Linked DNA regions of Drosophila melanogaster. The gene in region 1 interacts genetically with each later gene. Each region holds a gene or a part of one and is shown in the gene's direction. Other genes may lie near its edges.

Region 1 (7,336 bases):
TCGAACCACCGGGAAGGCTTCCTCTTTCCAATCGAAGGATTTGCAGGAATTTCGTAGTACTTATTCCCGAAATAGTCCTCCCCAATGTAATCCCCACGAAACTGCCGCGGTCGTAGGGACTTCCAAAAGTTCTTGAAGATGATGCCGATCACATCGCGCGTCGGCTTGTTAGCCATGCTTATTTTAACTTAAGAGCGAGGAACTTAAATTTATTTTAGAATTTGAGGTTAGGTCTTGCGTTTGTTATGACATGAACAGCTGGTGGCGGTGTTGCAAAATGCCGGCAGGTTTAAAAGCGTAATTCAAATTCGTAAAATTGGTTTCAGTGGCAATGCATAGGGACTAAACCAGTCCCGCAGAAAAATTGCCATTAAATCTGTACGGAGACTATTATTGTTGTATTCCATGTCCTGGAGTACTAATCCAATGCCAGCTGAGTAAGTAAAATGCTCTCCCGAAAAACTGGAGGTGCCTATAAAGGCAACCCTATCGGTGACTAAGTACGAGTTGCAGTTAACTCTACCGCCGGAAATCCTCTCCAGTTCATTTGTGGTGGGTACAACAAAACGTCGCTGCAAGAGCAAAGAAATTGTTAATAAAATTGCCAATACTTATAAGCTCATTACCATTTGTATATCTACTCCTTCCGTAATTTTGTCGAGCGCTTGAAGGGACCTCAAGAAGTGATCCTCGCTGGGATCCGAATACTTCCACCATGAAATAAGCACCTTAATGGCCACACCGCGTTCCAAGGCAGCTCTACGCAGGGCATTGTCTATGACCGGCCAGTACTCCAATTTGTTACTCCGTCTTAGCCGAGGAGAGTACTCCATTAAGGAGAGGTATATAACGTCTGTGGCCTTGTCGATAGCCTCTAAAATGGCATCTAGCTCTCGGGTCCTTCCAGTAGCGATCAACTCTGGTGGTGATGTGGATAAATAAGCTCTCATTGTATGTTTTTTGTTGATGTTTAGCAAAAGCGGTCTTCTTTGATTGATGTGCGTGTGGTATATCCACGGCCAGCTCTTTGGCACTTCATTGCTGCCCAGGTACCAATACGCCTTGAAGATCTTTCCCAGATCTAGAGCAAGATGGGGACAATTTCTGGCCAGCACACCTAGTTCCTTGCGTTGCGTCAGTGATCGCCAGTCCATGCTAGCTGTGCCCAAGTAGAAGTGCTCCCCGTCCACTAACCACAGTTTTGAGTGCAGAAAATTAATGCCCACGACGTCGGCTGCTCCGTAGTTAGCCAAGATACGGGCATCAGCATGCCACAGGCTATCGTGGCTGCGATTAACCACAATCCGCACGCGCAGCTTGGGTCTGCCGGCATCTCCATTCGACAGTAGCTGCTGAAAGAGTTGATCTCCAGGCCCGGTGCTGCTATCGTTGACGTCCAAGCCGCGCAGTGTCCAGTGCGGAGAAACGATGTCCAACGATGCCTTGGCCCTGCCTAGTAGTAGCTGCCAGGCATCAAAGGTGCTACTCAGTTGGGGGTGGCTTTGCCATTGGCTGTAGTTCAACCCCAAGGGCAAGCTCTCCACCAGTTCGAGTTGACATGGTAACGGCTTTTCCACCGGAACGGGGCTGTTTCCGTTTTCATTTCGATGGTAGGTCTCCCAAGGCAACAGAAGCACAATCATCACCAGAACGAAGAGTATAAGCACTGGTATGATGTAGCCGTGCTTGCAGGAACAGATATTTCGCTCATCCTGGAGCCCTAGGCCGCAATTGGGACGCCGGCAACACGATGTGGTCAAAGGGGTTGGCTCTTCCGGTGCTCTGGGCACTGGCTGGTACTCTCCGGGTATCTCATGCACTACGCGACGCTCGGACATGGCAAGGGGATCAGGACTAATGCTGACTGGCCATTGTCAAACATTTTTCACAGCCGAGCCTATTTATTATTCGCGCAGTTGTGGGAAAGTATCACCCGCCCACGCAAACAAATGGGCAGTGTTGGACAGCACAGCGCGGTAGTCGTCTGCGCTGGCTGCTAAAAAAAAGCTAAAGGATAAATTAATCCAAGTCCCTGCTCAGAAAAATAAGTTGTCGTCAGTGCATTATTTCAGCATTTACTTCGATTTAAGTTTTAACGCCATAGAGTCCATTAATTCTCTTGAAGTTAATAAATGTTTATCGCTTTAATTCAAAACTGATAAACTTTCTATGGTCCTATTTATTTAACGACCCAATTTTGGCGGGAAACAAGCCGGCGGAACATTGCTGACGCGTATGCGTGACGCCAGCTAACACTGGTCGCCGTGGTAAAGAATTTAGTCTGTCTTAAAATCTTCCGGCTGAGAGGGCTGAAAATTTTGACGGCTTCGAAGCATTTGCTGCAATATCAATTTCGTCGGGTTTATTTCGAGTATCGCTTAATCAGGACGCGACCATGGCTGCGAGATTGATGAACGCCCAGGCACAGGTAGGTTCTAGAGCGGAGCCTGTGCCTCCAGTCGGCCAATATATAACCACGGCTATATATACGTTTACGTATAGAATCTGTGAATGGAACCCCGAAATTCCAAGCTGCGATAAAGACAACTGGACAGAGCACTGCGCGAAAGTTTACAAAAAATCATTGCCCATTTCTTACACACCCAGCAGGATGTGGGCAGCGAAAAATAGCAAATTTTTCGCACAGCGTTTTCTAACCTAAAATCATAAAATTCGAAGTGGTTAGGTAACCGAGTTCGCAGTGTTTGTGATTCTACAGGCCCTGCATCCCAAACATGTATACTGAATACGCAGCAGTGAACCATGCGAAATCGTTAGCTCTCAACAATTAACAGCGATTCGTGGGGGTTCGATGGTTGGCATAGTTGCATTTACATAATCGCCGGGGTCCAGTTATTTAACCAGGAGGCGAACACCCTCTAGAGCATATATCTTGTGGCGGAGGACCGTCTTATCTGTGACAGGTTTACTTACACTTTGATAATGCCAGCACTAAATATAGCTTAAAAAAGTTGCGCCGTTTAACTTGAGTATCACGCGCATTGGAGGAGTTTTGCCTTTCAAGTGGGGTTTTTCCACGTCAGCTTCGAGAAAGGTTTCACTGTACTCTGCCCATAAGTTAACGACCTATTTGACGTAATTGTCATTGCAATTGTTTCGATTTGCGTGTATGTACATACAGTCGTGTCGTCACGTGGTTCTTCTAATTGGAGTGTTCTGTAGAATATTGTAACAATTTGAAAGGCTTACAAACAAACTATATTTCCAGCTACTTTTTATTTTTTTATTCTGCAGTTCGAAGAACCTTAAAGCACTTTGGCTAGCACTTAAAATACTTTGATTGTTAAATGTAAACTTTCAATCATTTTACTAATCTCAAAAAAATATTTGGAAAAATTTCACTCTGAAGCGGTAAATGGATCAATGGATTATTTTTGGCTATTCAAAAATTTCAAGACGATTAAAATTTATTAGCTTTAGCAATATATTGATCTTAAAACAAGTGAAAGCGGTGATAATAATGTTTTACATTTGTTATATATGTATGCAAGATTAAATGTACAGTAAAGAAGAATTTTCACAGATATGGTCCCCACATGATTGTACTCTTGTCAGAATATCTTTGGGAATTATCATTTCCTGATAGAGGAATCAATTTAATTAAAGTGACGAGGACTCGTCCTCTTGACATGATAATCAAGTGTTTATTGGGCTACCAAGCGAATAAATAAAATCTCACAGTGTGCGAAGTGCAAATAAACTAGAGAATCACATTGTGTTAATTACTTGATCTTGATTGCTAAATGTACCACTTCACCATATTTAACAGTTCGACTTCTTATCTGCTTTCCAGGTGTGTCGACTGGGCAAGCATGTTGCGTCCGAAGCCACAGTGGTGCGTCAGTTCCACGCCTCCTGCTACACCGCCTCCAAAGTGGCTCTGTCCAAGTTCGACTCGGACGTCTACCTGCCGTACGAGAAGCTGAACAAGCGCCTGGAAGTGGTGCGCGGTCGCTTGAACCGCCCACTGACTCTCTCCGAGAAGGTGCTGTACTCGCATCTGGACGATCCCGCAAACCAGGACATCGTGCGCGGTACTTCGTACCTGCGTCTTCGCCCCGATCGTGTGGCTATGCAGGATGCCACTGCACAGATGGCTCTGCTTCAGTTTATCTCCTCCGGACTGAAAAAGGTGGCTGTGCCCTCCACTGTTCACTGTGATCATTTAATCGAGGCCCAGATTGGTGGACCCAAGGATTTAGCCCGTGCCAAGGACCTGAACAAGGAAGTGTACGATTTCTTGGCCAGCACCTGTGCAAAGTACGGATTGGGCTTCTGGAAGCCAGGCAGCGGAATCATCCATCAGATCATTCTGGAGAACTACGCTTTCCCCGGCCTGCTGATGATTGGTACTGACTCACACACCCCCAACGGTGGTGGCTTGGGTGGCCTGTGCATTGGCGTTGGTGGTGCTGATGCCGTCGATGTGATGGCCGACATCCCCTGGGAGCTGAAGTGCCCCAAGGTGATTGGTGTCAATTTGACTGGCAAGATCAGCGGCTGGACCTCGCCCAAGGATGTTATCCTGAAGGTTGCCGATATCCTGACCGTCAAGGGAGGCACCGGTGCCATCATTGAGTATCACGGCAAGGGTGTTGACTCTATCTCTTGTACAGGCATGGCCACCATCTGCAACATGGGTGCTGAGATCGGAGCTACCACCTCTCTGTTCCCCTTCAACCAGCGCATGGCTGATTACCTGAAATCGACAGGCCGTGCTGGCATTGCCTCCGAAGCCCAGAAGTACCAGGCCAAGATTCTGTCCGCTGACAAGAACTGCGAGTACGATGAGCTGATTGAAATCAACCTAGACACCCTGGAGCCCCATGTTAACGGACCATTCACTCCCGATTTGGGCCATCCCATCAGCAAGCTAGGCGAGAACTCGAAGAAGAACGGGTACCCTATGGACATCCGTGTAGGTCTTATTGGCTCTTGCACCAACTCTTCGTATGAGGACATGGGTCGCTGCGCCAGCATCGCCAAGGATGCCATGAGCCATGGCCTCAAGTCGAAGATTCCTTTCAATGTGACTCCCGGATCAGAGCAGATCCGTGCCACCATCGAGCGCGACGGCATCTCTGAGGTGTTCGACAAGTTCGGCGGTACCGTTCTGGCCAACGCTTGCGGTCCCTGCATTGGACAGTGGGATCGTAAGGACGTTAAGAAGGGCGACAAGAACACCATTGTCACCTCCTACAACCGAAACTTTACTGGCAGGAACGACGCTAACCCGGCCACCCATTGCTTTGTCACTAGTCCCGAGTTGGTCACCGCTCTGTCCATCGCCGGTCGTCTGGACTTCAACCCGCTGACCGACGAGCTTACTGGTGCTGATGGCAAGAAGTTCAAGCTCAAGGCTCCCTTCGGCGACGAGCTGCCCGCCAAGGGTTTCGATCCCGGCCAGGACACCTACACTGCTCCCCCACCCGTAAGTACATTTAAATTCCCAAACTGATTTATATTGTTCTTAAGAATCAATATGGAAATCCCACAGAGCGGCGAAAATGTCAAGGTGGCTGTCGACCCCAAGTCGACGCGTCTGCAGCTGCTGGAGCCTTTTGACAAGTGGAACGGCCAGGATCTGACCGATCTGACTGTGCTGATCAAGGTTAAGGGAAAGTGCACCACTGACCACATCTCCGCTGCCGGACCCTGGCTGAAGTACCGTGGCCATTTGGACAACATCTCCAACAACATGTTTATCGGAGCCACCAACTACGAAAACAACGAGATGAACAACATCAAGAACCAACGCAACGGTAGCTGGGGAGGAGTTCCCGACGTAGCCCGCGACTACAAGGCCAACGGCATCAAGTGGGTGGCCGTCGGCGATGAGAACTACGGCGAGGGTTCGTCCCGCGAGCATGCCGCTTTGGAGCCCCGTCACCTTGGTGGTCGTGCCATTATCGTCAAGTCCTTCGCCCGTATCCACGAGACCAACCTGAAGAAACAGGGTCTTCTGCCTCTCACCTTCGCCAATCCCGCTGATTACGATAAGGTTTGCGACTCTTAGCTTCTGTGACTAAGGTCATATTAACCATATCTTTGTACTTCAACAGATCCAGCCCACGAGCAAAATCTCCCTGCTCAACCTGAAATCCCTTGCGCCTGGAAAGCCCGTAGATGCCGAAATCAAGAATGGCGACAAGGTCGAGAGGATCAAGCTTAACCACACCCTGAACGACCTACAGATCGGCTGGTTCAAGGCCGGCAGCGCTCTCAACCGCATGAAGGAGCTGGCCCAGTAAATGGTCCTGGACCTACTTAAGACACCCAGTCAAGAAGCCTGATCCCAACCTTCTTCCTGTAGGTGAACACACTCAAATTCACAACGGAAGCAATCGAATTATGGTATTGTTATTCAATTCTTTTCAAATTGTTTATATTATATTTTGACTATATCGAGTGTGCAGCTTTAAAAGTGAATTATGTAGCCGAACGATAGCGAGAAATTGTAAGAGTTTTATATATATAATTATACACAATTTTATTTTTAATTCTGGCTATGCATGCGTTTCCTTCAATTTTTGTTCTTTTTGAATTTGTCCAAATGCTCTACAGATTGCCTCTACTATGAAACTGTTTTAAGTGCGAATAAAACTCAAGTAATATGTATTAAACCGATTCTTTCATTTAATAAACAACAGTTAAAACAAAAAAGCGGACAATAAGTGCCGTCAATTCATCCCGTGTCCTCTATATTTTCTTCATTATTAACATAATTTTATCAATTATAAGACGTAAGACACAACAATTTGCACAATAAAGCATAATATCAATAATAGAATCTACTGGGGCAGATTACTTAATTATTCACCCATAGCTTTTGGAAAATATGTCGAATTGTCAATCAAATATAAATTATTAGTAAATCCAATTCTAGGACTATGAAACGCAGAGCTCAAAGTAAAACTTCCGTTGCTTCCAGCACGGATTTCTTTTCACTCTCCGACAAGCCATCGTTGGGAAGAAGACGAGCCCTACTGGCTGCAAAACTTAAGCGTCAGGAACAGAGTACAACGTCCTTTGACTCCAGCACAGGCTCCTACACTTATACAGACGCCACTTCTTTGCGAAAGACCCCCATCACCTTCTCACCTAGCCCGGAGTTCATGAAGACCGCCAAGGCTAAATTAAAGTTAATCGCATTGTATGAAGATCACAAATGCTTGTGGAATCAGCGCAACAAAGATTTCTTCAATTTCGAGCTCAAAGACAGAATCTGGGATGCGATTGCCGATGAAATGAAAGCGGACTCGCCATCTGGGTTTTGGAAACATATGATTCACAAGCTTCGCTATAAAGTTGAGAT
Region 2 (3,732 bases), on another chromosome or scaffold:
TGGGCCGAATGGGAGCAGCACCCATTTAAGTTGTCATTTCCGTAACATATTCCAATGGCCCCGCACAATGGGCGAGTCCATATTTGAATTTGCCGTTTAACAATAGCCCCAATGGCTTCCCTTCCGGTGAGTTCCCCCACTTTGCCCCATTTCCGCTGGGTTCCTTATTATGCGGATGACAATGCGTATTTTATGCCGCCTGTCGGCATTGATTATAAAGCTGAGTGCTGTTCGGTAACCTTTTATTTGTGCAGCAGTGTGGGATGAGGAAATCATCATCATTCCACATGACCCATTCAGGGGCTCTGTAAGCGCAATGTCTAATTGGACAGACCCTTGGATGAAGATGCTGAAGCGCTCTATGAACTGTAGCCCAACAGCTCTCAATATGAGTTCTACCAGGGGAACGTTTTATTGGAACAACAAGACATTACCTCACCACTCATTTTATGGAAAAAACCGCCGTTTTATAAGTTAAGATTAACATAACATCAAAGTCACTCGGTCACTCTTCAACCTTCGGATGGAAGCCGGTTGCATCTGCGGTGTAAGTCACGCGAATTTGCTTGCCATCTTCGCCGGGAAGGAAGTATTCGCCCTGGATGCCGTTCACATTGCCTTGAGCTTTCACTTGGATCCCATTGCTGACCGTGATCTCATGCTGGAACTGCCCAGCTCCATCCAGGTTCTGGCGGTTCTCCGACTTCAGAAGTTGCGCCTGCAGATCCTCCTCACTGCAGCTGGCCAAAACGACGAAAAGGGCAAAGATAAGGCTCTGAAATTGAGAGGTGGCTGATTATCCAATAGTCTGTTTGAAATCCGATTAAACTCACATATTTCAGCATTTTGGAGCAGCTTCTTGAAATGAAACAATGCCCGTCGGCCTTTTATACTATACTCCGAAGCTGCCTAGCCCACTAAACGGGTTTCAATCGCATCTGCTAATGAAATGACTGAGATTAACCAGACAGCCATGAATATGAAATTTGCGGCTACTCAATCGAGTCTGCTTCTGGCACCAGAAGCAGGCCAGCCTCCCCCAACTAATTGATTGCGATTTTGTTAACCCATTTTGCTACTAAAAGAACATTTAATCATCAACAATGAATTTGAAAACTATGCGCCCGCGGCCTTCGGAAGGATTTCTTGTGCAGGCTTGGAATCCCAGTCTCTATACCTAATTTCTGGATTGCTCAGAATCTTGGCCACACCCTTCAGAAAGCTTGGCTTACTGATAGTGGTTTTTCTCACAGAATCGTTGCTTTTCTTTTCCAAGGCATGCGGTATAAGTGAGGAAAAATTTAGAGATGCCTCGTTAGTAAGTGTCCCATCTGAGGATTCAATTGGCAAGAGAGACATCCCCTTATTTCGCTTGTTGTTGAACTTCTCGAGATATTTCTTGGCACCCAAACGGGCGGATGTCTTTAAAGCATTCATATCCCAGGACACTCCCAGCTTGGATTTGATCTCCTCGGAGGCAGTCTTGTCGTTCGAAGAGAACAGCGTTTGGAACATCTTCTTCAGCTCGAGGTCCTTGGGATCTTGTAGCGATCGGACTGCCCGCGGATCAATCTGCCCAATGGAATTGTCTTGGCTTTTGGTTTCCGCCTCCCGCTTGGAATCCTTGTTCAGCTCAACTAAGTCGTTTAACGACAATTTGGGGTCCAAGTTCCCTTGCAGCTGCTGGAAATCCATTTCGGGCGCATCCTTCGGCAGGTAGCCGCGGCTTTTCAGGTAAACTAGCGGCGACTGCCAGTTGTCGATGAGGTTCTTAACAATGGTGTCAACCGAATTCTCATACTTAACTACTTTTAAATTGCGATCAGCTGCAGCACTATAAAATAGACAGATGTATAAGATTAAAGAAATCATTTTAATTTAAATTGTGAGCCTGTTATCGATGACTTTGTGAAACGGCTACACTATCGATATAAATTGTTATTGACAGCTACGTCTCAGCAGCCCTGGATCTAAATCAGCTGTTGTGTTGTAAGCAAACGTAAAATTAACAAAATCCTACAATTATTTTGTTTTTTATTGAATTTCATAGCCTTTCAGGTTTTTGGTTGATCGCACAGGACTGCAACGCTATTATGGTCATCACCAACAACACAACACTGCCCGAGGAGTCGGAGCTGAACGTCCAGGAGCTAAATCTATCGTCGGCGGCCTTACGGGCAGGCGCCTTCCATTTGGGCAAGCAATGCGAGCAGGCCAATAATGTTAGTACATCCAGATTGCAGGGGAATCCTCCTGATAGTAATGCTTAGGTGAAAAGCGCCTTAAAGTGAAGCTGGGAGCCGCTGCCTCTTTAAAATCCGAGCGGCTTAGTTATATAACCTAACCTCAAAAAGCACCTTCCCCGTTTGTTTACCTTTTCCTTCGTGTAATTTCAGGAGTTTATGCTGTGCCGGCAGGAGCTGGATGACCCGCGAGCCTGTTTGGCGGAGGGCAAAGCCGTGACCAGCTGCGCCCTGGACTTCTTCCGCAAGGTGAAGAAGACCTGCCATGAGGAGTTCACGCAGTACGCCACCTGCCTGGATAAGAGCAGCGGTACTATGGCTTTTTCACAGTAAGCACTCCGTAAATGTTGAATATTCCAATCATGCTATACCAATGTCCATCCATACTTTAGTTGCCGCAAGACCCAGGGAGTGTTCGACAAGTGTATCAAAGATAACTTCGACTGGGATCGTCCCTCCTATGGATACTTCTCGAGGGCCAAGGTAATTTCTCGGCATGCTTTATTTAGACCTCTCCTAATCACTTCTGTTTTCAGGTCATCCAATCAGCTCGGGAAGCACCCAAGAAGGAGGAGAAGGTCTCCTATCCCGATGCCACCCCCGGTTTGCCCGAGGATTACCCCAAGCCGCCAGCAAAGTACGGTTCCCGCTTCCACTGGCTGGAGTAGACAGCTGCCAGCGCCTAGTGAAATTTGAAAGCGTTCATCTTAATATAAACTCTTGTTTCCATTAGTACTCGATATATTTATTTCATCGTATCTTTTTCCTCGACACAGTTTGCTTGATTTTGGCCATAATATCCAGGTACTGGTTGTTCAGGCAGCATCCGCAGTAGCTAACAGGGAAGCAGGCGCTGCCCTCGATACGGCGGAAAAGTGGCGTGTTCTGATAGAAGACCCACGAGATGTTTTCTTCGCCCAGCACCAGCATGATCTTGTCGAAGCGGACGCCCTGCACCTGAAACAGCTCCATGTCGCCGGTGATGATGCGCCACTCTGCGTAGCGTATGTTAGCATCTGGGGGCAGCTTGGAGCGCTCCCTCATCATCACATGCTCGAACCAATCGCGCACTTGGATAATCGATCCGGTGGGAGCGTGCTTTCTGATCTGGTAGCTGATGCGCGGGTACAGAGGATTTCTGCGACAGGAATGAATGAGTTTCTGGCGATCTCTTGGGTATTTATATTAATTGCTTACATGTAAGGAACAAAGGCCAGGCGCACCAGCACAAATTCAACTTTCTCTCGAGGAGCCATCTTGAAGATAATTTTATTTTTATGCGGACGACGCACTTCACAGGCACTGCTATGCAATACTAATGAACTTGGTCCACTGCTCAGACTATATATGCATAATACGCGACTTGCAGGCAGGTAGAATCATTGCTAAAGCAGATGTTCCGTTTCTAATCCCAAGAAAAAGTCCCAGTTTTCCCGTTAGTTACCTGTATCGATTTTCTCATTTACAGTTTTATTGCTAAAAAGATTTT

What was found.
Region 2: of mAcon1 (region 1) and ND-19, changing one suppresses a phenotype caused by changing the other (phenotypic suppression), as found in Drosophila melanogaster (one study listed by BioGRID).

What each region holds. Positions count from the first base shown.
Region 1 is NT_033779.5:21,166,377-21,173,712, forward strand, and holds mAcon1 (mitochondrial aconitase 1), read left to right. Parts: upstream 1-2,193; 5' UTR 2,194-2,395; coding exon 2,396-2,428; intron 2,429-3,814; coding exon 3,815-5,452; intron 5,453-5,518; coding exon 5,519-6,022; intron 6,023-6,083; coding exon 6,084-6,272; 3' UTR 6,273-6,808; downstream 6,809-7,336. Other genes in the region: CG43346 (uncharacterized protein), read right to left, coding at 1-176; CG43345 (uncharacterized protein), read right to left, coding at 303-572, 627-1,838; CG31627 (uncharacterized protein), read left to right, coding at 6,912-7,336.
Region 2 is NT_033778.4:24,662,458-24,666,189, forward strand, and holds ND-19 (NADH dehydrogenase (ubiquinone) 19 kDa subunit), read left to right. Parts: upstream 1-1,940; 5' UTR 1,941-1,989; exon of another isoform or gene 1,990-1,999; intron 2,000-2,050; exon of another isoform or gene 2,051-2,058; 5' UTR 2,059-2,093; coding exon 2,094-2,222; intron 2,223-2,396; coding exon 2,397-2,572; intron 2,573-2,635; coding exon 2,636-2,726; intron 2,727-2,779; coding exon 2,780-2,911; 3' UTR 2,912-2,982; downstream 2,983-3,732. Other genes in the region: Cpr60D (cuticular protein 60D), read right to left, coding at 506-775, 834-845; CG30161 (uncharacterized protein), read right to left, coding at 1,117-1,872; CG34214 (uncharacterized protein), read right to left, coding at 2,994-3,381, 3,441-3,499.